Ovis aries: one gene and its partners. The protein of the gene in region 3 interacts with the protein of the main gene of each other region in a pairwise test. Links are inferred from orthologs where the notes say so. Each region holds a gene or a part of one and is shown on either strand. Other genes may lie near its edges. The genes, in order: RFWD3, TRIM27, UBE2D3, ZNRF1, AMFR, ZNRF2 and TRIM17.

Region 1 (3,500 bases), on a different chromosome or scaffold from region 3:
AAATCATTGTAAATGGCACCTTAAAATAACAGAGCAGCATGCACTTGCAACTCCTGTCAACACAGAACTAGGCTCTTCTCACCCTTGATGGATCACATCCAGCACTGACCAGGCATTAGAGACTACAGCCACAGTAACAGCAGCCCTGATACACTAATCAGCAGGATCCATTGAAAAGGATGCTGAAATCCAAAATCAGAAGGCACAATTCCAAGTCCAGGGTTATCTCAGTCAAATCATAAATCACCCCATCATCTTCCTCATTTGTAAAACACAGATAACAGATGGCCCAGCTACCACTATTTAGTGCCATCTCATTCTTTTCAATATTTATTTTTTATTATTTGTTTGGCTGTGCCGGGTCTTAGTTGTGGCATGCAAACTATCAGTTGCCACATGTGGGATTAAGTTCTCTAACCAGGGATTGATCCCAGGCCCCCTGCATTGGGAGTGCAGAGTCTTAGGCGCGGGACCACCATGGAAGCCTCTCATTATTTTCACAGTGTTAGAGAAATGGATCTGATTGAAGCTTCCTTTATTTGCTTTTGTAGACAACAGTCAGATCCAGGTTCCAACATCAGCTCTAACTTCCTCTGTACTGTCAACTCCGAGACCCTGAATAGATCATTCTCTCAGGGTCCAAGTTTCTTTCACATTTAAAATGAAAAGGTTGAATTCAATTTCTTTCAACATTATGAAGACATTTAGAAAGCCAGCTGTGGAACTAAGTATTTCAAATAAAGCAGAAGTTAAAAAACAGATTAAAATATAGACAACTGTTATTCTTCATAATAACTGTCAAGACTTGACAGCTAACCCCTTCAAGAGGCAAGTTCAAACCAAAACCTATAGAAGAAAATTATTTTTAACTCTACAACACAGTTTCAGGAGAGGAGGGCTAGAATGTTTCCCACTTAGTCAGATAAGTTCTATATTAATTCACACTCTACTTTTCACAAGGGTTCTCTAAATCCAGCCTGCCCATCTTACAAAATCTACTGTACCACTAAGTGGAGTGCCAATGAACAATGAATCTTGGGCAAGTGGAGTGGACTTGCAAGTTAAATATATATATGTATATATTTGATGTACAAGAGACAAATGATCGAAAGAAAAGCCAGCCTCTGCAGACACCACTGCTAACAAACTACCAACAAGTTTTCAAAACCTATCTGTATACCTTTATCCTCTCCACTACTTTGTGAAGTAAATAAACCAAGTAATTTCATTTTCATCTGACTTATGAGGTACTGGGGGTTCCGAAAGGTTACCCGACTTGCCAAGTCACAATGCCAATTCCTGGCAGCACTGGGGCTATCATCAGGGCCTAAAGTTCATAATTCCCAATCAGGTACTAATCCCACTATTTACATTTCTATTTACCTGGCACTGTTTGTCCTCTGGGACCCTCCTGCTCTTGCCCTCCGTGAAGCAGAACTCCTCCTATTCCTCCTCGCTCTCACGGGCCCCACACTGCGGTCTGAAGTTGGTCGCAGGAATTCCAGCATGCCATGAAGTCTCTGCAGCCCACTGATGAAGCTGTTCATTGAATCCAATGAAGGCACTTGGGGAGTGCGGTTAGCATCAGATTCCAGCCTAAACTCCTCTAAAACTCCTGGATTGAGGTTCCCCACAGTCTCTGTTCCTGAGAGCTCCACTTCCTCTGTCAGATCAACAGATATCTGCGGAATAGGCGGAAGCAGCGGCACTCTCTCTGGGCTGTTGATCACCTCCTCAGGAATGGGTTGGAGCAGGGGTGGTCCTCCTTCGATGCTGACCACCTCAGCAAGTATAGGATGCAACACGGGTGGTCCCTCCTGGCTGCTGACCTCCTCAGTATGAGGAGGCTGGAGCAGGGGTGGTCCCCCTTGGCTGCTGACCACTTCCGCAGGAGCAGGCTGATCTGCAGCACCATGATCTAATTGCACCTGAAGATCATATTCCATTGCTTCATGAGCCATCACTGAGGAAGCAATATTTGTAAAAAGTATTAGTAAAATGTATCAGCTACGTGGCATGTTTTATCTAATTATGTCTATCATTTAATACTTGTTTAAGATCATTCTTGATAAAACTGAGAAACTTAAAAGATGATTTTAGCTCTTTTCTTATAAGGACTTTTAACCAGTTATCCTGTTTGCCCTTCGAAAACATAAAGTCATGTGATCACAGCACTAGTCTTTAAAAGAATCTATAAAATAAGAGAACTGAACTATTGAAAATAATCCCCCAGACCTCTTGCAGTTCTGTCATGACCTATATATGGACATTTACTACAACAAATGCATACAATGCTATATTTAATTTTAGTAGGCAATATTCATCTTTCATGGCACTAAAGTGCAAAAAATAAACACAGAAAGAACATTTCCACAAAATAACTCAATTAATAACTCAAAATAGAAATTAACCTATTTCCTCCAAAAAGGCTGAGCAACCTTTATTTACTTCAACTTTTTCATTACTTTTGTTTTCTATCTCTAAGTCCATTTGTTAGTCCATTCAACAAATATTTATTAAGCACTGGTTATGTTCCTTTCATTATTTGTTTCCTGTCTCTACTCCACTACGTTAGTCTATTTTTCAAGAAATATTTAAGCATCTGTCATATAGTCAGACACTCCACAGAGGCAAACAGATAAGTGGACAAGACCCAGCATAATACAATTTACATTCTAGCAAATGAGAGAATAAACAAATCATTGTGAAAAATTATATATTGTGCCATTTGGTTTTGAGAGTGGGGGGCAAGACACAACAGTGAGAGGTGGCCTCTTATAAGTGAAAATTAAACCAAGACAAGAAGGATTAAAAGAAGTTGGCCGTATGAAGAGCCAAGAAAGAGTTTCAGAAGAAAATTAATACAAGGTGTCTGCTAAGTATGGGTTTAGTGCGTCAGAGAAACTAGGAAGCCCAGCATAACGAGAATAGTAAGAAAGAGCAGACAGTATGAGGTTTAATATGAGGAGTAAAGTTGATGATACACAACACTTTCACTAGAAGACCTTGGTAAGGAGTTTCTTCTGCGTTAGGAATGGACTGTAAGGGAGGAAAAGTGCAGGCAAAGTGACCACTTCATAGGCTATTATGAGAGTATAAACTAGTGGTCACAGAGGCAAGACTAGTAGCAGTGGAGATGGAACAGTAGACAGCTTTAAGAATCCTCAGTATAGTCATGCCACTTAAAATCTTGGGATAGATTAACTACCTAAGAAGGAGTTGAGATAGAAGAAAAGCAGGCCAAGGACCAATACCAGAGACATTAAAAGGATAACAGTTATAGGAAGAGAACCCAGAAACCAAGACCATGAGGTAGGAGAAAACCTGGGAGAGTGTGGTGTCTTGGAAGAATGATGCAAGGAGGGGACAGTCAAGTGTGTCAAGTGCTACTGAGGGGAAGAATGACCACTAGATTTAGCAATGTAGAGGTGACAGATAATCTAGAAAAGAGCTGTTTCCCCAAAGTGATGAGTAGAGGCCAGACTGGAGTGGTCAGCATA
Region 2 (2,592 bases), on a different chromosome or scaffold from region 3:
ATCTTCAGCCATGAACCACAATGTTGGGTACAAGACTAAGACCACAAAATCTTGTCATCTTGAGGTCATGTCCAAAAGCAGAAAAGATCGAAAACCTCCTGGAAAAGAGCTGTCCTCTCAGCATATTTTTCCTCCTTAGAATGTGGTGCCCTCCATGACCCTAAGGGCTTAGGCTGCTGCTTCTGAGGTGGGAAGCAAGCTCTGGGCGCTCTGATCTATACCAAGCATTGCTGCATACCCCACTGTCAGTTATAAGCACTTGAGAGAACACTTTTCCAGAGACGTGACAGGATTAGCCAATACAAAGCTGTAGGCTATGGAAGTCCAACACTAGTTTCCAAGCACCAGTAGAAAGCAGTGACATGGTACTGTTTTTATCATCCAGTTGAAAGTAAAATACTGACCAGAATGAGATTCTCAAACCATAGAGGTTAATAGTGTTGATTTCCTCCAATATCTATGAACCCAGTCCTACCAAGACCCAGAAAATAACAACAGTGTAAACAACATCCATACTCACTTTATTTTTAAACAGAGGAGCATGTACCCAAAGAAAGAGAAGACTAAGAACCATCATGGGGGCTTGTGCTAAGTGATCTGCCTTGGCTTTCTGACCTCAGAATGCCTCGTGATCCAATGGCCATAGGGATGGAATAGCCCCTTGATGGTACACACATCAGAAAGGTAAACTCCCTCTTCCCTTGAAATAGAAGGGAGAAATGGAGACAAGTCAATGAATCCCCTGGAATATTGCCCCAGAATCCTTCCAGGGATAGGGTATGACTGACCATCAGTCCACAAATGGAAGTGGGATGGGAGGTAGGAACAATGAGTGGTGTTGAGCAGAAAATAATCCCGGATGATGTGCATCCAGGACTAGGATACACTTTTCATTAGAATGAAGGGAGCTGACAAAGCCCTCAAAAAGATAGAGGCAAAGAGCACATTGATTAGAATATTATCTCCTAACAGAGGTGGGGCTATTTCCCACCATTACTGTAAAATAACTGTAACTAATCAAAACACATACAGGCCTCTTTAATGGAGTTAATAAAACTACAGCAGATTGGGAATCAGGGGTAGAGGTACTAATCCCAAAGGAAAAACTGGGACAAAGGGATCCATGCTGACAGGACTTTAGTCCAGCTGTGGGTTCTCAGAAAGAAGCCCTGGTTCAGAAACGACAGCAAATACCCATGATCACTATATGGGGCTGAGCCCAGGTGTAAGAATCTTGAATGGCTCTCCTAACCCAAGATTATCCATATTCTTTATCCCCTCCAGTAATGTATAAGACCAAGAAGTGTGGAACACTGGAGGTGGACATCTGGTTTTTATTTCTGGGCAATCTCGATAACTTATTACATCTCACAATTTTCATGGGAAGGGGGGGATGGCAGAGAACACAGACATCCTGTCTTGCACTGCAGGGCACGGAAAGTGGTAAGAACATCCAGCTGTGATGGGCAGGAAGTGGCAAGGCAACAAGATGCCTCATGCCTGGGGTGGGAGTACAGCCAGCAGCCCTTCTGGCCTGAGTTCACCTCCTCAAGGGGAGGTCTCCATGGAATGACCATGATTCCCAACATGGCCAGAAAACCCATCGATGCCACTCATGGGACAGATGATCAGAGGAGCTGCGCTCTTCCCTCCAGAGTAACTCAGACTGAAGTAGGGCCGGACAGGCCCACAGAAGGTAGCATGAGAGAAAGTAAAGGTGTGACACCTCTCTGTCACGTTGTAGAAGGAGACCTCGCCAGCATCATAGTCCAAGAAAATCCCCACCCGTTGGAGAGGGGTCCGCAGGGGGAGGGCAGTCATTGGGGAGGTGAGAGCCCAGTATTCTTTCCCATACCACAAGGACACTGCCCAGAATCCATTCTGGGGGGCTGAGGTTACCCCACCTTTTCTGCACACTGAGTCTTCACAGACACCTATGGTCCACTTGGCTTTATCTCCCACCTCTACCTCCCAATAGTGTCTCCCAGCGATGAAGCATGGAGAGCCCAAGACACAGGGAAACAGATTGAACCGCTCAGGGTTGTCGGGCAGGTCCTGCTGGAGGTAACTGTACCGCACTTGCCGCAGGTTATCAGAGAGGATCAGGCTGGGGTAGGCTGTGTCTGGGTCCAGAGTCACATCCACTGCAGAGAAATACAGGGGCAGAGGAGGATTAGCCAAGCACCAGGACAGCCCACTCTGAACACTCAGCTTTTCTCCTATCCCTGAGAAGAGAGTAAGAGCTCTCCAGCAAAGACACATTCATTTTATACATTTAAGTCCACCCTGAAGCTGACATTCCCAAAATTACTGTTTGGATTAGGTAGTTATCTCATTTAGCTAGGATATACTGGAAGTACTGAAATTTTTACCTTGCTTTTCCACATTTTAAACCACAATATCCGTTATAAGCTGAATTTAAGGTTTTCTTATGTGTATGTCCAACCCCTTAATCCGAAAGCCACAGGGTCCAGAAGTTTACAGTATTTAGACAGAGAGGGTGTGGTGTAGCACTCTACAACCAATACTAACAGATCTGCTGTGAAACATATGGATATTCACATTATATCAGATAAAGACACTAAATAGTGC
Region 3 (4,278 bases):
GTAAGAAATAAACACTTATAATAAAACCAGATTTTGGGACGTCCCTGGTGGTCCAGTGGTTAAGACTCCAACCTTCTGTAGGGGGTGTGGGTCTCATCTCTGGTTGGGGTCCCTCACACCATGTGACATGGCCAAATTAATTAATTTTTGAAACCCCACATTTTGTTGGGTATTACATCAGAAGATGATACTGGGGAAGATTTAAGAGCAGGAGGCGAATGGGGCAACAGAGGATGAGATGGTTGGATGGCATCACCGGCTCAATGGAGATGAGTTTGAGCAAACTCCAGGAGATAGTGAAGGACAGGAAAGCCTGGTGTGTTGTAGTCCACGGGGTCACAGAGTTGGAGGTGACTTAGAAACTTAACAACAACATCAGAAGGTGGTCAGACAAGCCTGCCACTTCTGTTTGTAACAATTACCTTCAGCTCCTCTACTTTACGTTCTGCCAAGAAAGTAGGGTGGTAGAAATGAAGTGGAAATTAAAAAATACAGCAAAACACGACTTAAAATTTAAAGCAAAGGGAATGTAAGAAAATGTTCCCTAAAATGCACAATAAGGGTTTTTTTTTAATTGGTGGGGTTAGGAACTATCTCCTTTTATACATTGTATATATACATATATATAATTACTTAGTGGATCAGAAATAGCTAATGTATGTCTACACATCTTGAAATTTTAAGACAAAAAAAAGAAAAATGTTTCATCCATATAGACTTCTATTCACTGCATTTCTTCTACTTGGATAGCAAAACAGCTATCCACTGCTCAAAGAAGTCAGTCACAAAAGAACTACATAGAGGATAACTTAACTACATAGAGGATAATTTCTTTTATATGATGTAAGAACATGTAAAGGAAGAATGGTGCTGGTGGTGGTAAGGGGATGTGATTAGCAGGGACATAGAGAGACTCCATGGTGTGTTTGGTGTATTCTGTATATGTGGATCTGGGTGTTGGTTACACACTTGAGCATTTTATTATATATCTCTTAACTGAGGTATGTATCTCTTAATCCTTTAAAGAAAAACTTCTTAGAGGCCTTAGGAATCTCACTTAACACAGCTTGCTTTGCTCCTGTCAAGACAACAAAGCCTCTAAATAAGAAACGAATCTTTAGTGGCCTCTCTACGCTTTCTTCCCCTAATGGCCCCACTCCCGCAAACCACCCTGCCTCAACCACCTCCCAAAACAACAGTCTTAAGGACAAGGCAGTTGAGCTCATCATTTTCAGGATAAACAAGCTCCAGGATCCTTCTTCCACTAAATCAAAAGTAAGCTCCCAGGAGTAAACTGAAAGGAATCTGAATGTAAACACCAACCTTTCAATCATCATTTCTACCCTAGCTCATGAACATGAATCTGTATCTAAACATCTTGGTAGAAATTTCCATTATAATTTTACTTGCACAATTTTGACCAGGGTAAAATGACAGAAAATCAATTTATCTAGATTTCAATTAATTCTCTTACTGAGGATTATTTTTTTAGTGAAGGACGATAACAAATATTAAACAGTCCAGAGAATGAAAAGTTGCTTTAAAAACATTCCTTTTCACTTTAGGATGAAATACCAAGAAAAAAATTTTTTAAAACTTACATATTAACAATTGGTTGTTACATTTTAAGTCATACAAGGTGAAATACTGGCCCTTGTGCAGTTCATTGTTCTATGCTGTCGGTCAAGCAGGGTTCAGAAAGGAAATAAGGCTGGGTTATTAAGATACAAATACACAACGTGCAATCAGCAAGTGCATTACTTCGGATACTTTAAAAACATGAAACAAAGTCATGTCAAGGAAGGTGCTTCAAGGGACTGAAGCTATCTCCTTTCTATTTTTTCGGTGTTAATAAACCTAAATAAAAATTAAAGCTCTCCAAGGATACTTTAGTTTGCAGCAGAAGCCCTACAACATGAAATAAGGGAAACCCTAAATCTTCATATTCTTTCACCACTTTCCCAGTTTTAGTTAACCGGAAAAAAAAAATTTGATCTACAGAAGAAGAATTATCTACTGAAAACAGATATCTAACTAAGGACTCTAACGGGTCTGGTCTGAGTCAAGGTCTCGGAGCAGTTTGGCTAAACAGCCTAGGAGCAAGGTTGTGAGCAGTGCCTAGTTTAGGTATCTTCTTTCTTAAAAAAAAAAAAAAAGAAGCCAGATTTGTAGAGGGGAGAGAGCGAAATTAGGCGCTGCGGGGTTCGGCGGAAAGGGTGCTCTAAGGAGAATTTGCAATTCTGGGGTCGTGGCCCGAGGTAAAAAGCGACGCCCGGAGAAACTCACTTTTGAAAGGCACCTTCCGGTTACACAGTACTCTCACGTGCTTTACCTCCTCGGACACAGTATCGTTTCCTGGGCCTCCGGACGTGAAAGGCCCACCGTGAAGGCCCTCTTCCACCTCAAGACGCACAGGCGGGCCTCGCTGCCCCACGGCCGCCCGCGCCCCTTCGGCCTCCGCGGGGCGCGCACGTCACCGGCCCGCTGCCAATCGGCGCCGGGCAGCTCACCTCTCCGCGCTGGGGCCCCCAGCCCCGCCCCGGCCTGGTCCCGGCAGAGAGCGCCGGTCGGCCGCTTCCGCTCTGGGCGCAGGCGCAGCAGCTCCGCCGGAGAGCCGCGGGAGTCGGGCGAGGAGCGGACGCCGCCGGCCAGGATGGTGCTGGAGAGCGTGGCCCGCATCGTAAAGGTGCAGCTCCCCGCGTATCTGAAGCGGCTTCCAGTGCCCGAGAGTATTACCGGGTTCGCCCGACTCACAGGTAATCCGAGCCTTCAGCCGGTCCCCATCCTTGCGAGCTTCCCCAGGCGGAGGGTGGGGGCGGGCATCTGAAAGACCTCGGCCGAGGGGCGGGGCGGAGCCTGGCGGGTGGCGCGTGACCTGGGATCCCACTCCAGTATTCTTGCCTGGAGAATCCCGTGGACAGAGGAGGCTGGTGAGCTACAGTCTGTGGTTTCGCAAGGAGTCGGACAGGACTGAGCACAGCACCCCACTACCATTCTCACTGCAGTCGCGGAGTAGGTGGGCACGCGCAGGCCCTGCATCCTCGGAGTGTATGTGAGGCCGCATCTTGGGACTTGGCGGCCCCCTGAGCTTATCTTCATGTCTGTCTGCAGTGTCTCTCCGTGTTGAGAGACCAGGTTTTTGCAGAGAAGGTGCTGAGTTGGGAACAGGCCCATTTTTTTCATCTCCGTCGCTCCCTGCAACGTTGCTGGTTTATTTTAAAGCAGGAAAAGTCGTTATCCAAGGCTCAAAGTCTCTGTGTATCAGGCTGTCCCAGCTCTTGGCTGAGTTTGACCCACATAGTGTGGGTGTGTCTGTGTGAGAGAGAAACACACATACACATGTATTTGGTGGTTTTATTTACTAACAAAATTAGACAATTCCAGTTCCAAGGGGGAGTGTCAACCTGTTACGGGGTCATTTGAGGTCATCACCGTATCACGGGCCTGGAAGCAATTTAGTTTACTCGAGTTGGAGGAAAGATACTTTTGCTGGTATGACAGACCAAAAATTAGAAAGTGAAATTTACTGATGACATGTAACATTTGCACTTAAGTTCCCTCCTTTACAAAATAGAACCCACAGCGCGGGATTTCATATCTAAAAGATGAACATTTCCAGAATGCTGCCAACACTTGGAAGATTTTGTTGGGTTCTGAGCCTTACAATCCAAGTGAGATATGGGTAAGCCAGACTCAGGGACTGATTAGGATGATGGTGGGGGGAGGAGGGTGGGGAAGGCGGTTATTGATAAAGCAATCATTGAACTCATATGTTCTGACTGATTACCAGGGAATGTAAGCATGAGTTAAGATAATTTTGAGGTAAATAGGGCTGCTTCTGGAGCAGTTTAGACATCTGTGGTAGCTGACTTAAAATGCAGTATTTGGAAGGCTGACAGGTAGAAGAAAAGATGCATTTTGTGTAGACCAGAAGACAACTAGGGCCAAGTTAGTGATAGTTATTTGAACATGGATTTTAGTTGCATGTTAAAGGAATTCTTTTTTTTTTTTTTTAATTAGAGAATACTTTACCTTAATAGGGTGCTTTGAGAGCTATCCCCTCTCAGAGATTTTAAAAAAAAACAAAAGGCGGTGTCTGGTGGTGGATAGGCAAGATGTGGTAAACTAGATCTAAATCTAGTCTAAATCTAGAGATTCTTTAAATAATAATCACAGACATTTGCTTTGTTGACAAACGGATTATGAAAATTTAACATTTTTAGGTGTTAAAAGGTTTGACAGAAAGCATGTAATTGAATAGAAAGAGTGGTAACTGAG
Region 4 (4,019 bases), on a different chromosome or scaffold from region 3:
AATATTAACAGCAGCCCCCCCCAACACACACTTCAATGTCAATCCCTCAAGGGATTAATATGCTTCAACTTTCCCTGTAGTCCCTGGTTCAGCAGGTCTTCCTAACCTCTAGCTGGAAAAAGGAAAAAAAAAAAAATTAACGTTTTACAGCTGAAGAGTCTGAATTTTAGAATCCAAATGCAAGCTCATAACTCTGGCATGGAACCTGGTGGCGGAATAAGGAAAAAGAACTTTCTGGTAAAAGAAAAGAAATTTGAGTGGAAAAAGGGAACTCCTACTCTAAGATTACATTCCTGCAACACACAAAATTCTACCTGTGACTTTTGAGAACTGTCTTATAGTGCTTTTCTGTTTAAACTCAGACACTAATGACAGCTTTCTTAAAAACTTAACTACAATCACCTCAAAAATACACCTGACCCTTTCTGGACCAAATTTTATAAGGAAGATTACTAAGTTTAAGATGTCTAAAGCTGATCAAATGATGTCTGAAAGTGCCAGAGGTAATCACACCCTACATCTCTTCAGGGCAGTGTCCAAATTATATCTAGAAGTCTGTTCAGGGATTAAAATTCCATCCTAGCAATTAAAAGCCACTTTCAAGGATTACCCTAAATTAGTCACTATTCCTCCCGAAAACTCATTTCACAATCGGTTTAAAGAACTGAAAAAAAAATTAACATTATTTCCAGAAATAGAGATCCAAAGTGTCTCCCCTATTTCACAAGAGCAAGCAGTGATCCAACAGATAAATCCTCCATAGAGCAATCTTTCTTCTACACAGTATCTAAATTTTCTGAAGTCGCCCAAAGGAGTCTGAATATGTTAACTTCTTTACTCCAACTCGCCAATTAGTAAATAGCAGCCCCACACCCCTTCTGACCAATTTTCTGGAGGCCTAACCTGGTTTCTCAGGTTAGCTAAGCAGACAGACCTGTTTTCCTCCAGAAGCTCCTGCCAGTGTCTTTTCTGCCCTGCCAGAGTCTAGGAAATCCTCCTCCAGCTTTTTGCTGACCTGTCACCAGAAGTTCACAAAATGAATTCATCCAGGTCCTTTGACTCCTCCTTTCCCCCCGACATGTGCCAACAGCAGTGCAAGAGAACTGCCATGTCTTGGTCACAAGAAGATGCAGAATACCCAAGCACTTCAGCATGGAGGAGAAGAAGAAAGATGGAGGGATCCAAGAGACACTGAGCCAAGGCTGCTACTGCATGCAGCACGGGTAACCAGGGCCCCAGTCACGCAAAGCCTCCCAGGGAGGCTCCCTGGCTGCGCCCTCCGACCAGCAGGCCACACCTGTCTATGGCAGCAGCCTGTCGGCCGCTCCATTTTAAACAATTCAGATTTCCAGCACAGCCGCAAAACTGGGCACCCACTTCTCCAGCAAGAGCAAGTGCCCTCATCCAAACCCCACTTGGCCCCAATCTTCTCTTCACATCCTTTGTCTGAGATGCTCGGTCCAATTGGATCCCTTCTGTGTTACCGGTGCACCCAGCACAATGCAGCAGTAACAGAAAGGAAGCACGGAGGCCGACTTGCGACCAGCCAGACTTCTCTGAGGACGGGGAGGCCAATGAATGAGACTTCAACAGGCATCCACAAGTGAACCAACGCCTGAAGTCCTCACACACCTGGCTCTCCTCGGCCTCTCAGAAAGCCTCATTTCTAGAGAGTGGGTATTCCATTCATCCCTTGGCTTCGGGAACCAAGAGGACGACAGCCAGATCCAGGTACCGCACTTTTACCTCCAGACCTTTTGCGTGCACGCGTGCGAAGGTGCGGGGCACCTCGGCGCGCCCTCCCTGGCACCCCACCCTCCGAGGCCTCTGGCGCCCGCGGACTCACCACTGTGCGAGCTGAACCACCGGGGTGCGATGTGCAGAGGTAGAGCATCCGCTAGCGAGGCTCGGGAGCCCAGGTACAGCATCCCGTCTCTATGGTGACCGCCACCCGTCTCCTGGTAACCATTGCCGTGGGCATAGGTGGAGTCGGACGTCGACCCTCCGCTGCCGGGCGCCCTCTCGGCGTCGCCGGTCCCTCGGGAGGCGGGGGTGTAGAGGCCAAAGGGCACCCCGCTGGCCGTGCTGGGGTCCATGCCCATGCCCGCCACGGAGCTGACCGAGCGGCTGCGGAGCCCCATGGCCCCGCCGCCCGCCCGGTAGTGCCCGAAGTGGGGCGCCCCTCCCGGCGGGGGCACGGCGCTGTCGTCGGTGGAGACCCCCGGGAAGGGGCCGCGCGAGCGGGCCGCTGTGCTCTGCTTGCCGCCCATGCTCGCCCGGGCCCCGGCGGGGCGGGAGCCTGCAGGCCGAGACCCTCCCCCTGTCCTCAGCGGCGGGGGCAGGGCTGGGCGGGCATACGGGGGAGCAAAAAGGAGACCGGAGGGGAAGGGAAAAAGGAAAAAGAGAGGACCCGAGCAGGACCCAGACTACGGGCTGCAGGCGTCCCGAGCCCGGCGCATGATTCCCCTCAAGGTCCGGAGAGGCGAGGCGCGCGGGCTCGGCGCGCCCCAGGCCGCCCCCGGGCTCCCGAGGGCCGGGCGCCGCGGGGAGGAGGCCGCCCGCCCGGCAGCGGCCGCCGGAGGAGGAGGGCGGGGGCGCCGGCGCGTGCCGCCTCAAGACGCCGCGGCCGGGACGGCGGCCCGGACCCCCGAGGCCCGGGCGGGCTGCGGCGCCGGCGGCCCGCGGAGCTCGCGAAGCCGCGCTCGCGTCGCGCTCTCGGCCCTGCCGCGCGGGCCCCGCCGGCCGCGCCGCTCGCTCCCGGGCTGCGCTCGCCGGCGCTCCTCGCCGCCGCGGAGACAATGGAGGGCGGCAGCGCGCAGGCGCGGCGGCGCCCCCGCCCCCGCCCCCCGCGTTAACCCCTTCGCGGCCCGCGCGGCGCCGGGCGGGGACTCGGGGCGTGGACGCCTCGCCCGCCCCGCCCGGCCCGGCCCTGCCCTGTCCGATGGCCCCGGGGCAGGCGTGGTCCGAGCCGCTGGAGCTCAGGACCAGAGGCGACGCGGCACCTTTAAGCCCCCAAGAGCAGCTGGTCATTCAGGGGGAATCCCCCCGTGGGCGGAGGGGCGGCGGTGGTCCAAAGGGTGGGAAAGAAACCCGGGGAAGAAGAAAAAGGACTCCAGACGCCTACCTAGCCCCGAGGGTCACTGGTCAAGCTCCCTTCCCGGCACGAATTTGCCCCCGCAGCACCCTCTGGTGGACTTGCTGTCCGTTCTATCTGAGGTTCAATGTCCTGGAATCCCCAACACCAGGAAGTTTAGCGTTTTGGGGCTCGATAGTTTTTCCGGGATTAAACAGGGCTGGGGGGTGTGTAGGGGGGGTGTTGCTTGTGATTTCAGATTTTGCTGCCAATAGATCAGAACTTCCTATTTTGGACTTAAGCAAATGGGTAGATCCTTAAGATAAAATGCGACTCTGAAAATCATCAGGTGTACGATTAAAAAAAAATAACAGACGTGGAAATCTAATAATGCAGCTAGAACTAGTGATTTTAGAAACTCCCTGGTTCAAGGAAGGACTCCTGTTTTGTTTACCGTTTATCCAGGTATGCATCGCAGGGCCTGGGACACAGCAGGTACCCAATATTTGCTCACCGAGTCTGCGTTTTGCAATGTCTCCCTCACATATTCACATTCACTCACTCATTCCATTCTTTCGTTCATTCATTTGTTCAACAGCTATTTTTTTAAGTGCTGAGTGCTGCCTAGGACTGTCTGTCACTCAGTCCCTGGTCTAACTGACTTCCTTGTTCTAAATGTCAGATACTTCCAAATCAAGGAGCCAAAACAGGGTGCAAAGAAATATTAAAACTGAAAAAAGAAAGGTTGATCTGTCATAGGTATTGATTGTCTCAGTGTGACCAGCTTGGAAGGAATAGGCGGCCTTTGCAAGCAGCAAAAAGCCCTGCAGAAGGAAGTTGAGATTTCTGTATGAGAAATGATGAAGGAAAAAACAATGTTTTAATACCCAAAACATTATCTGTAAGTTTCCAAATGGGGAATTTGTATACAGCTAAGATCCAAATG
Region 5 (3,500 bases), on a different chromosome or scaffold from region 3:
GGGTTTAGTCTCAGGATGCCAAGTGAACACCTCAGTGAGGTTAAGAGTGTGAGAGACAGAATGTATGTTTGTGTGTGTGGATGTAAGCATGCATGTGTAAGGAATAAAAAGGGCAGAAGCCCAAGGAGACTTCCATTTAAAAATAATGATGATAAAAATAACGATGTAATAAAAGAACCTAATATTTATCCAGTACTGTTCTAAGTATATTATGTTCATTATCCCACTGAATCCACCCAACATTCCAGGAAGAAGGTATTATTATCCCTAGTCTTAAGCAACCCAGGCACAGGGAGCTAAGTAAATTGTCCAGAATCACACGGTAACTAAGCAGGCTTCACATCTAGGCAGCCTGACTCCCGAGCCTGCACTCTTCACCATTCCATTAACAGCTGAAAAAAGCAGGGATATAACCCAGGCTCCGTCATTATTAAAGATCTCAAACGTGTCAACCTGCTGACTCACCTGGCTTCCATGTTCCCGACCACTCGCAAGTAGTTCTTGTGCCGGCGGATGCGACGCTGCACTTCATGAAACAGGTAACGCAGCTGCATGAAGATGACCAAGCTGGCCATGGACAACCAGATGTTGCCAAACAACTTGATGAGAGGGAGAGAGAGTAGAATGCACAATAAGGGTCAACGCGAACTGGCTAGCGCTAAGGGCGAGGCCAGCGACGGAAGGTCTGAGTCGTGGGTAAAGGTGAGCAGGAGCAGGCACTGGCGAAGCAAACGCGCATACTTCTCTCACGACTCTCAACACTGCCCATGCTCTTCATTCCATCCACAGCCATCTGTTCTGAGGAACTCACCAGAAAGTTTAAAGCTTTATGCCAAATGATGTACATTCATGCAATTATAAAACAGAAAATCAGGAAACAGACCAAACGCCCAGCAGGGGAACAGTTATACTGTGAACTCACATAATGTAATATTATATATTCATTACATGTATCATAAAATATAATTATATCCTATTATATTGTATATATAACATTTTGAAGATTAATAAAATGGGTAAATAATATTTTAAGTGAAAAGAGGAAAAAAGTACTTCAAAAAAAATAATATATGACCAAAAAATTATATAAAGATGTGAAGAGGCAAACAACTGAATAAAATCTAAATACTCATTATGGGATCAGGGTGTTCAACAGCTAGGGGTAGAGAATTGAAGGAAGGAAAGTGGTCAAAAGGTACTAACTTTCAGTTATAAGATAAAAACTTAGTGGGGATGTAACATACGACATGATAACTATAGTCATAACAGCGCTGTATAATGTATTTCAATTAAATCATCATACTTCTGTTGCGGAATTTTTATCTTAAAGGTATTAAAATGATTTAGAAGAAATGTTGCTAGCATAGGAAGGTGCACAGAATACAACAGCTACAAAAACCTAAGCTATATGCCCAATACATGATGAACATATGGCTGTGAATAAATAAAGAAGCAGTAACCACCAAAAAAAGTCAACACTTAACTTTGGACATTTGTTGGTGGGGTGGGGGGGGGGCTTTTTTTTTAAAGTACATTTTCAAAGTCATTTTTTAAAAGTACACTTAGAAATGTGCTATGTTCAACTCCCAAATTTTTAAATGCTACTTTGACTGGCTTACTATATAAACAAATTGCCCATCAAATATGTTGATTCTCACCATTCTGAGATCACTGAAGTGCTAACCAGGGAAGCAGGTTTTCAACATGGTGATTTCTTGCACACCAAAGTAAAATGCAAACAATGAAGTAGGAGAAATTAAGAATAAAGACTTTGCTTTTAATTACAAAGATGGAACATTTATGCATCCATGAAGCACCTAACACTGTGGGAGTCCCCTTTACCACCTACAAAGTAACTGCTAAAGATCAGAAGCCACAGAATCTATGAGGAGAGGAATTCTCTTAATACCAAGCTAGAAGAATTATCTACTGACTTTGTCAGCAGAGTGAGTTAAGTCTCCTGGGAGGACAGCAAGCACCTCTTGAGCTGGGCACCAAAGCTGTTCCACACTGTTTTACACCCATTGGCCAGGAAGAAAAAAAAGGGGAGGGGCACAGTTGCATCATTTTCATAGTCTTTTACGTGGGTCATCCACAAATGTTTCACTTATTAAACTCTGTACTAAACAGAGTTCCTGATTCTAAAAACCTCAGCTCTCTCTGTAGGAGTTCCCTCTGGGAAACTTACCAACATGTGAATATGGTGCATGAGGTCCAAGGACAAGAGAGTGAGCTCCATGACGAAATCTGTGTAATAGACATACGTCCCCTTTCCTTCCCATGTCCCTTCATGGTTGAGGTCCCAGAGGTGAATTACATATCTGCCACGAACAGAGAAGAATCGTGTTAATGATTTACTGTTGCAATTGAATTTGTTTTAAATAGGATAGACTCATGTTTTTACAATTTTTTTACACGTTATATTTTAAAATCAACTGTACGAGTAGACTTCCATCACCTCCCTCCCAAATTTCTACTCACCGTAAAATCACATGAGCAGTCCTCACTGTCACAAGAAGAGACTATTTTAAAAAAGAGAGATTTTTTTTTTCCTTTTAGTAAAGTTTAGGATTGCTCAGACCAAATTAACTTTTGCAAAATGATAAAAGACAAACATTTCTCAGTTCAATTAAAAAGCAGGTTGTTCAATGGCTGTGGGGGTGAGGGGGACTTGGAGGATGGCAGTCACAAGCTACCAGTTATAAGGTAAATAAGTACGGGGGAGGTAATGTATAACATGACTACAGGCAATAGTGCTGTGTCGTATACTTCAAAGTTGTGAACAGAGGACATCCTAAAAAGTTTCATCACAGGGAAAAAAACATTGTGGGAGTATTAAGAGGATACTTATTGTGGTAATAATCATTTCACAAATTATTATCATCATTATGTTGTACACCTTAAACTTATACAGACTGTATATCTCATTAAAACTGAAAGAAAAAAAAAGCAAGTTACCAACCATTTTAGTCCATGTGCTTCAAATTTGCATTGCATATTCTCATGACCTAGAAACTCAACTTTTATTGAGCCTTTTCCTGTTTATAGGTGACAACCAACTACACCTGTCCAGCTCCTGGGGATGCCTTCCACAGTCTTGAGGTCACTGAGTTTGACAATCACTTCTATTTTGTACAGCACTGAATCATCGTAACTGATAACCTGAAGAGGCTGTCTGAATGCCTGGTGACCATTTACCCAAGGTGAGGTTTAGACCCTGCTATCCTAGACATCTACGAGTCCCTGCCTGCTGCATAATGCTTTCTGCACCCTGTTCATTGACACAGAAGAAAACCGAATGCATGAAATCAATAACAAAATAAGACCTTCATGGTATTTTGCATTATAGAAACTGATGCTAAGAAAAGTTTCCTCTTAATCTAGAATTAAACATAAACATTCTTAGAGATTAGAAAACTTTCATTTACAAATAGAAAATATTTTGCACAGAAGAAAAACACTATAAAAACATGATTTAGTTCAAAATATCAAATCTATAA
Region 6 (3,500 bases), on a different chromosome or scaffold from region 3:
TATAGGATAAGTACCCCATCACCACCACCCAACATCACTTACTTCTTTATGATTGTCTTGACTATTCCTGACCCTTTGCTCTTTTGTCCATATATATGTAAGAAACAACTTGTCAAGCTATCTGAAAAAACTAGTTGAGATTTGATTGAAATAGTATTAACTACATAGATTTGGGTGCAGTGACATCTTTATGATATTGAGTTTTCCCATCCACAAAATCGTATGCCACGTATTTATTTTAGACTTTCTATAATATCTTCGAGGAATGTTTTAAAATCTTGAATATCTTTTTGTAAGATTTATTCTTAATAAATCTTATTCCTGTTGCAGTTTCTGTTGCTATTAATGTTATTATCCTAAAAGTTATATATATATGTATTTTTTTACTGGGATATGAATGCAACTTATTTCATATGTTGAGCTCCTATCAGACAACCTAGCTAAATTCTTATTAATTTTAACATATTATCTGTTATTATTTGCTTTTGATTTTAAATTAATAGCAAATAGAGTTTATTAATATAGTCTTCTTCCTTTGCTAATGAGGTAAATTATATACACAAATTTTCTAATCATATAGTGTTTTTACATCACTATTAATAACATAAATCCAATTTGGTCAAGAGGCTTTATTTTACATATATACTGATGAACTTGGTTTGCTACTATGTTTTCAGATTTTGCATTTATGTTCATAAATGAGAGTGTCTTTTAGTTTTCTTTCTTATACTGTTCTTGTCTGACACGGGTATCAAGTATATACTATACTCATAAAATAAGTGGGAGAACCGTCCATCATTATCTACTTTTTGGAGGAATTTATGATTATTAACACAGTGTTTTGTTGTAGCTGTTTAGTTGCTAAGTCATGTTCGACTCTTCGTGACCCTATGGATTGTAGCTCGCCAGACTCCTCTGTCCATGGGGTTTCCCAGGCAAGAAATACTAGAGCGGGCTGCCATTTCCCTCTGCAGGGGACCTTCCCAGCCTAGGGACAGACCTGGCGTCTCCTGCATCATAGTCAGACTCTCTGCCACTGAGCCATCACGGAAGCCCACCCCATGTTCGGCTACGTGGTCAACTTGCCATCAAACTGTCATGGTAGGCCTGTCTTTAGTGTTTTGTTTCGGCTTTTTAAAAACCAGTTGTTACTTTCGGGGGCTAGTCTTAATAACTACTTAGGATAGTTACTACTTTATTTGGATTTCCTATTTCTTTTTGAGTCATTTTGGACAATATTATATTTCTAAGCAAATTACCTGTTTTAAAATTTTTAGGTGAAAAGTATAAAATTTTTCACAGAATTTTCCAACTATTTTAATTCCTGTTATATCTAAAGTTATGTGTTCCTTTTCATTCTAACACTGTTTATTTTTTCCTTCTAGACACAATCTTGCCAGTGGCTAACCTATTTTATTATTCTTTTCAAAGAATCAACTTTTGACTTTGTTAGTCTCTATTCTAGTGTATAATTTTTTCATTCAATTTTTTCTTCTCTGATCTTTGTTTCCTTTGTGTTTATCCTGCTATCAATTTTCTAATTCAGGTAAAATCTTGGACTATTGATTTCCAGTCTTTCTTTCCACAGTAACACAAATCTTGCAAGGATCACCCTAGAAAAATGCTGAGAAGGTTTTCATTATTATTCAGAATATTTTCTAAGTTCCATTATGATTTCTTCTTTGATCTATAAGTTACTTAAGAGTATTTGTGAAGATCATTTATCTTTTGTCATTGACATCTAACTGCGCTCAGAGAACAAAACAGCTTTCTGTATGGTACCAGCTTTTTGTGGTTTACTAAGATCTGCCTTGTGGCCTAGTACATGACCAATTTCTACAATATTTTGTATGTTCCTGGCAAGAAAATGTATTCTCTAAATTGCTGAGTGTAGATACATCCATTAATACTCATGAGATCAAATCTGTTCACCGTACTGTTCAATTTTTCTAGGTCTTAACTAGTTATGTGTACGCCTGTTTGACTCAATGAGAAGTATATTCAAATTTTCAATTACCATGATGATTTCTCAATTTTTTCTAACCATTCTACAAATATTTTACTTTGAGACTGTGTTCTCTGGTGCAGGAAAGAATGTAGTTTTTATATACTATTATCATCATATAATGATTTGGAGGGATTGATAATGATAATGGAGGGATTCCCTGGTGGCTCAGACAGTAAAGCGTCTGCCCACAATGCGCGAGACCCGGGTTAGATCCCCAGGTCGGAAAGATCCCCTGGAGAAGGAAATGGCAACCCACTCTAGTATTCTTGCGTAGAAAATCCCGTGGATGGAGGAGCCTGGTGGGCTACAGTCCATGGGGTCGCAAAGAGTCAGGACATGACTAAGCAACTTCATTCATGGATCATCATATAACACTAGTAATACTTTTTTCAATAAAGTTAATTTTCTCCAATATTAATTTAGCTTTGTCAGTTTTATTTATTTAACATTTGCCTGGATATAGTCTTCTATCCCTTTAAGTCCATATTGTTCTGTACCCTTATGTTTAAGTGTGCTGCTCATCAACAGCATATTCCAACCTTTTGATTTGTTTTCACCTGGTTAGTTTGACCATTTGGATTTATTATAATTCCTGATATTGGATCTATTTTTGCCTCTTTGTTTTGGTACTATTTACTATTTTCTCCAACGTCCACACCCTGCTTTTAAATAAAATTCCAAGTTATTTCCACTATTGCTTTTAAAGTTATAGTTTTCTGTTCTTTTTGTAGTTTACTTTAAATCATCTTAAATCAAATTTTTCCTTGTTGCCCTAAAACCAAAACACTTTATCAGAAACCAGATGGGCTTTGGAGTCAAACAGACATGGCTGGAATCTCAGTTCTTTCATTTATTCCTAGCCATGTGACCATGCCCCCCAGCTTATTTCCTCAACGGTACAATGAGACTGTTGTAATGCTTACATAAGATAACCTATTCAAGAAGCTACAGACAATACCTGGGTCATAGTAAATGCTTAACAAATGGTAGACTATGAGATGTAAACAGATTTTTATTACCAACAAGGGAAAAAAAGCCTTTTTAATTTTTTTTAAAGAAATGGGGGAAGGGAGTTTCAATCAAGAAGAAACCTTTCATCCGTAACTACAAAATTTGAAACTTTGAGCAAAGTCTTTTAGTCTAATATCAATTTGGCTGACATAAAAGCAAACTCACCCTTTATGATATATGCACAGACAAGGCAGCCGTGCTATAGTATCTCCCTGCTGCAGTTCTTCAAGGCATATTGCACATTCCCCAGCATCTTTACTCAGTACGTCCTCTGAGAAAAAAGAAAATGCATTTAGGACAACAGAACTAAAAGAATTATGTGAATGCTGACTTATACAGAGTGGTGTCTGGCATATTTTTGTCAGAAGCACATAAAATTCAGCACCTATATTTGAAATACTATTTGTAACTCACTAAACAATGTTTACCTTTACTTACAGTGTCTCTCAATTTCATTTAGATTTCACGGAGGCATTACAGT
Region 7 (4,135 bases), on a different chromosome or scaffold from region 3:
TCCTCCAGCTTCAACTGTGGTGCACCCAAACCATGGAATGTGGGGGTCAGTGGGCCCCCTGCATGCCACACATCCAAACAGTACCCTCTGAAGCTGCATCCACCCTGAACCATCCTAATGGGGTACAAGGGATGGAAGTATGCCACCCCCAACCCCCAAATCTGTCCCTTTGGCAGAAGGATTATTTTGAGCTGGATGCAGAAAGGTGCCTTCCAGGAGCTCCCATTGTCTGACCAGAAGCATCTCACTGGGGATAGTTTGTGCCCACGAAGAAGATGGCAAGTTGGTGTCAAGATGAACCTACACAAAAACCCCCTATCTTTCTTTACTTTCTCTCTCTCTCTCTCTCTGTCTATATATATTTCTGCTAGCACCTGAATGTGTGTGTCCCTCTGACATCCAAATTCATATACGGAAGCCCTAACTCCTGGTGTGATGGCAGAGGTGGGGCCTTTGGGAGGCGATGAGGTCGAGGCAGTAGGACCCACATGAATGGGATTAGTGCCATTATAAAAGAGACCCGAGAGAGGACGGCGAGACGCTGGCCGTGTGCGCACCAGAAAGGGACTCTCACCTGACTGTGCTCATCTCCAACGTCAGCCTCCAACTGTGAGCAATTGCTGTTATAAGCCACCCAGTCTGTGGAATTCTGTTACTGAGACACTTTCCCACAGTCTGCCACCCTTGGGAGCCTGCAGCTTTCACCTTTGTCCTGTTGCTTTTCTCCAAATGTACTGTTCTTTGTTAAGATGCTTATATAAGCCCAAGTTCTAATTGACTTTTTTTTTAAACTGTTGCTGCAGTTTCTCCCAAGTGACTGGTATAGCAGGCAGGCATATGTTAGTAAACAGTTTGCCTTTCTCTTCAATTTGCCTTTGCTCAATCTAATTCATGGGCCCCCAGCCACAGAGCCTCAGGTGCATGGAGGGAAAAGGCTCCCCTCCCCCTGCCTGTCGGGGGGGGGCGGGGTTGCCTGGTTTGCCCACCCAGATGGCTGCACAAGGACCAGGGAGTATGGCTGGGGCTGGGTGGGGACTTGGTCAGTCTGGACTCCTGCATAATCATAGAGGTGACCCAAGATGGCATGGCCCCCAGCCTGCTTTGTTTTGGAGTAAGGGAGAAGGAAATGGCAGCCCATTCCAGTGTTCTTGCCTGGAGAATCCCAGGGACGGAGGAGCCTGGTGGGCTGCCGTCTATGGGGTCGCACAGAGTTGGATACAACTGAAGCGACTCAGCAGCAAGGGAACACTTCCACTGTGTGGTCCTGCATATGGGGCATTTGTTACAGCAGCCGTTCCCTGCTAATACCCTCCTTGACACATACGCATAGTTGGGCACCCTTGTCCCCTGTCCTGGCCCCCAGCCAGAACCCACCTTGTACGCTTGCACGGCCTCCTCGATAGGGACCACCCTGTGGGGCCGGTGCTCCTGGGACTCCCTGCAGATGAGGCAGATGGGCCTCTGGTCGTCCTCACAGAAGAGTTTGAGCAGCTCTCGGTGCACCGGGCACAGGTCCCTGCTCTGCGGGCTGGGGTGCTGCCGCACCATCTCGGCCACTTTGGTCAGCAGACGGTTGGGCCGCAGGTTCCTCTGGGGGGACAGCTCGCGGCACTCAGGGCAGGGAAAGGAGCCCTTCCGCTTTCTCCTCTTTTTCTGGCCTTTGGCCTTCTCCCAGGTCAGCTGGATGCACTCTCGGCAGAAATTGTGACCGCAGGTGGTCATCACGGGGTCTGTGAAGTAGTCAAGACAGATGGAGCACGTGGCCTCCTCCTGCAGCTTTCTGGCAAGTTCCACAGCATCCATGGTGCCTGGGGAAGGAATAGAGTGTCCTGCCACACGCTCTGCCTGGAGCCCTGAGCTCTTCAATAGCACTCTCTTGGCCTCCTTTTGAAGATGGGAGTCTGAACCTGGGGTTTTAGGGTACCCTGACTCACCTTCCATAAGGGGCATAGATGTCTCTCTCGAAGCTGACAAAGACCCTCTCCTTCAGCAAACCCCAGCCAGCTTCCCCTGAGCTGTAGGCTTGTCTTTGGCTGGCCCCACCCAGTTTCACAGTACTGTGAAATGTGCTGTGATATGTGATCTAGTTCCTCATCCCCCACCTATAATGAATTGATGTCCTTGACCCTCCTTGAGCAAGAATCCTCTTAGGCCTGTTTAGCAATAAGCCCCCTCTCCTCAGGGCACCTCTGGGTGATTTTCCATCACTGACCACCACCACTCCGCTCCTTGGCTACAGATCTGCAGCCGTCTCAGCTGCATTCCAGAGATGGCACTGCAACAATCTTGAATAGCCTTGCTTACTGTTTTAACAAGCACATAGGTTTCTCTTGAACAGAACTCCGCAGAACAAAGGAAAAAGGGAGTTTAAGAGGAAACATCTCTCTCATTAGGGAGCAGGGTTGACAGAGTTTCTCTCTTTAACCAACGCTTGCTCAGGCTCCAGAATTTTCCAACCAAGCCTTGGACTTACATGTTTGTCTCTACACTGTTCAAGTTTAGCAGAAATCCTGCTGCTGCTGCTGCTGCTGCTGCTAAGTCGCTTCAGTCGTGTCCGACTCTGTGCGACCCCATAGACAGCAGCCCACCAGGCTCCCCCATCCCTGGGATTCTCCAGGCAAGAACACTGGAGTGGGTTGCCATTTCCTTCTCCAATGCATGAAAGTGAAAAGTGAAAGTGAAGTCGCTCAGTCATGTCCGACTAGTAGCGATCCCATGGACTGCAGCCCACCAGGCTCCTCTGTCCATGGGATTTTCCAGGCAAGAGTACTGGAGTGGGGTGCCATTGCCTTCTCCAGAAATCCTGCTAGGTGGGTTTAACCAGAACCCCCCCTCCCCACCACTCACTGCTACTAAGATGTTTCCTCCTAGCAACTTCTTGTAACTGACCCTACCCTACTCCTTAAAAATCCCCACTGGCCCATGTTGTATTCAGAACTGAACTTCACAATTCTATATAGAAGGTCTAGTTCTATATAGAACCCCAGTTTCAATGAAACCCCAGTTTCTATGTTAATGTTTCCTCCTATTTCAATAGTCCCAAATAAAACCTGTTTTCACCCCTGTACCATCCAGCTCTGATTTTCCTTGACAAGGTGAAGTGCAGAAAAGATAAAGAGGGCCATTACACGCACACGTGCTCACACACAGGCACCGGAACACACATGTACATGTGCATGCATGTTTGGGACTGGCACACACAAAGAGAGGCACACGCAGAGGCACCTAGACCCGTGCACCAACATCTGAACACAAACTCACATGCACACACACTCTGGGTTGGAATACCCATGACTTGATGCAGTGGAGACCCAGTCCTCCTGGATGCACTTTACAGGGTGGTGGTTAGGGCTGAGTTAGAGTGGATTTAAACATCACTTCTTTACAATATTGTAGAATAATAATTTAAAAATAAACAGTATAAATTTAAGCAAAAATAAATAAATAAACATCATTTCTGAATTATTAACGCAAGCACTGTCCAGGTTCCCTTCTATGCAGTCTGAAACTATGATGGCTGGATTCTGCAGATTCCTGAATCGCTGACATGGGTCCACTTTGTCTCTGGGAAGAGCCCTTGGCGTGAGTCTCTCCCTCTGCTCTCAGCTGCCCTTCGTCCCGACTGCTGCCCACCCAGCAGAAGCTGGGTGAGAGTGGGGCAGTCTGGGCGCTAGGCTCTGGCTCAGGTTCTGGGGGAAGCCATCCAAGGGCTCTGGGCCAGTGATGGCAGACGGGCCTTCCTTGACCCCGGAATGTTACTCGGTAAATGCAGGGCTAAAATAGCGGGCTCTTCGTTCCAGTTTACAACCACCTTCAAAGCTGGGACAGCCACTCCACTAGGGCAGAGGGTGCACGGGGACCCAACCTGAGGCTCAGCACCCACAAGATGACCACCCGCCGGCTCCCTGAAGGGGGTGATGCTTACGGGGTAAAGCAGTGCACGCTGCACCTCGCCAGGCACCCCGAACTACGCCTCCAAACGCGGCCCAGGAAAGCCTGCTTTGAGGCGATGGAAACCACCTGGGCGGGGATCCGAGGGCGCTGGGCTTAGGGCATTGTGGCGTCAGCAGGAGCCCGAGATCGAGGGGCGGGGCCGTAATCACGTGGGGGACGGGGAGGCTTCGTTGGCGAGCGG

What was found.
Region 1: the proteins of UBE2D3 (region 3) and RFWD3 interact in a two-hybrid assay, tested with the Homo sapiens proteins (2 studies listed by BioGRID and IntAct). The link is inferred for Ovis aries from reciprocal best matches to the Homo sapiens genes UBE2D3 and RFWD3.
Region 2: the proteins of UBE2D3 (region 3) and TRIM27 interact in a two-hybrid assay, tested with the Homo sapiens proteins (2 studies listed by BioGRID and IntAct). The link is inferred for Ovis aries from reciprocal best matches to the Homo sapiens genes UBE2D3 and TRIM27.
Region 4: the proteins of UBE2D3 (region 3) and ZNRF1 interact in binary tests that used the Homo sapiens proteins (3 or more experiments, as listed by UniProt). The link is inferred for Ovis aries from reciprocal best matches to the Homo sapiens genes UBE2D3 and ZNRF1.
Region 5: the proteins of UBE2D3 (region 3) and AMFR interact in a two-hybrid assay, tested with the Homo sapiens proteins (2 studies listed by BioGRID and IntAct). The link is inferred for Ovis aries from reciprocal best matches to the Homo sapiens genes UBE2D3 and AMFR.
Region 6: the proteins of UBE2D3 (region 3) and ZNRF2 interact in a two-hybrid assay, tested with the Homo sapiens proteins (2 studies listed by BioGRID). The link is inferred for Ovis aries from reciprocal best matches to the Homo sapiens genes UBE2D3 and ZNRF2.
Region 7: the proteins of UBE2D3 (region 3) and TRIM17 interact in a two-hybrid assay, tested with the Homo sapiens proteins (2 studies listed by BioGRID and IntAct). The link is inferred for Ovis aries from reciprocal best matches to the Homo sapiens genes UBE2D3 and TRIM17.

What each region holds. Positions count from the first base shown.
Region 1 is NC_056067.1:1,596,559-1,600,058, forward strand, and holds part of RFWD3 (E3 ubiquitin-protein ligase RFWD3), read right to left. Parts: intron 1,964-3,500; 5' UTR 1,962-1,963; coding exon 1,384-1,961; intron 1-1,383. UniProt on the Homo sapiens protein: E3 ubiquitin-protein ligase required for the repair of DNA interstrand cross-links (ICL) in response to DNA damage. Plays a key role in RPA-mediated DNA damage signaling and repair.
Region 2 is NC_056073.1:29,131,340-29,133,931, reverse strand, and holds the end of TRIM27 (zinc finger protein RFP), read right to left. Parts: intron 2,145-2,592; coding exon 1,549-2,144; 3' UTR 501-1,548; downstream 1-500. UniProt on the Homo sapiens protein: E3 ubiquitin-protein ligase that mediates ubiquitination of various substrates and thereby plays a role in diffent processes including proliferation, innate immunity, apoptosis, immune response or autophagy.
Region 3 is NC_056059.1:22,312,629-22,316,906, reverse strand, and holds the start of UBE2D3 (ubiquitin-conjugating enzyme E2 D3), read right to left. Parts: upstream 2,801-4,278; 5' UTR 2,757-2,800; coding exon of another isoform or gene 2,654-2,756; 5' UTR 2,511-2,653; intron 2,430-2,510; exon of another isoform or gene 2,287-2,429; intron 1-2,286. Other genes in the region: CISD2 (CDGSH iron-sulfur domain-containing protein 2), read left to right, coding at 2,654-2,756. UniProt on the Homo sapiens protein: Accepts ubiquitin from the E1 complex and catalyzes its covalent attachment to other proteins. In vitro catalyzes 'Lys-11'-, as well as 'Lys-48'-linked polyubiquitination.
Region 4 is NC_056067.1:1,851,305-1,855,323, reverse strand, and holds the start of ZNRF1 (E3 ubiquitin-protein ligase ZNRF1), read right to left. Parts: upstream 2,801-4,019; 5' UTR 2,271-2,800; coding exon 1,847-2,270; intron 1-1,846. UniProt on the Homo sapiens protein: E3 ubiquitin-protein ligase that plays a role in different processes including cell differentiation, receptor recycling or regulation of inflammation. Mediates the ubiquitination of AKT1 and GLUL, thereby playing a role in neuron cells differentiation.
Region 5 is NC_056067.1:23,727,652-23,731,151, reverse strand, and holds part of AMFR (E3 ubiquitin-protein ligase AMFR), read right to left. Parts: intron 2,523-3,500; coding exon 2,482-2,522; intron 2,322-2,481; coding exon 2,189-2,321; intron 600-2,188; coding exon 466-599; intron 1-465. UniProt on the Homo sapiens protein: E3 ubiquitin-protein ligase that mediates the polyubiquitination of lysine and cysteine residues on target proteins, such as CD3D, CYP3A4, CFTR, INSIG1, SOAT2/ACAT2 and APOB for proteasomal degradation.
Region 6 is NC_056057.1:67,506,637-67,510,136, forward strand, and holds part of ZNRF2 (E3 ubiquitin-protein ligase ZNRF2), read right to left. Parts: intron 3,291-3,500; coding exon 3,185-3,290; intron 1-3,184. UniProt on the Homo sapiens protein: E3 ubiquitin-protein ligase that plays a role in the establishment and maintenance of neuronal transmission and plasticity. Ubiquitinates the Na(+)/K(+) ATPase alpha-1 subunit/ATP1A1 and thereby influences its endocytosis and/or degradation.
Region 7 is NC_056058.1:2,393,056-2,397,190, reverse strand, and holds the start of TRIM17 (E3 ubiquitin-protein ligase TRIM17), read right to left. Parts: upstream 2,801-4,135; 5' UTR 1,951-2,800; coding exon 1,375-1,950; intron 869-1,374; exon of another isoform or gene 15-868; coding exon 1-14. UniProt on the Homo sapiens protein: E3 ubiquitin ligase that plays important roles in the regulation of neuronal apoptosis, selective autophagy or cell proliferation.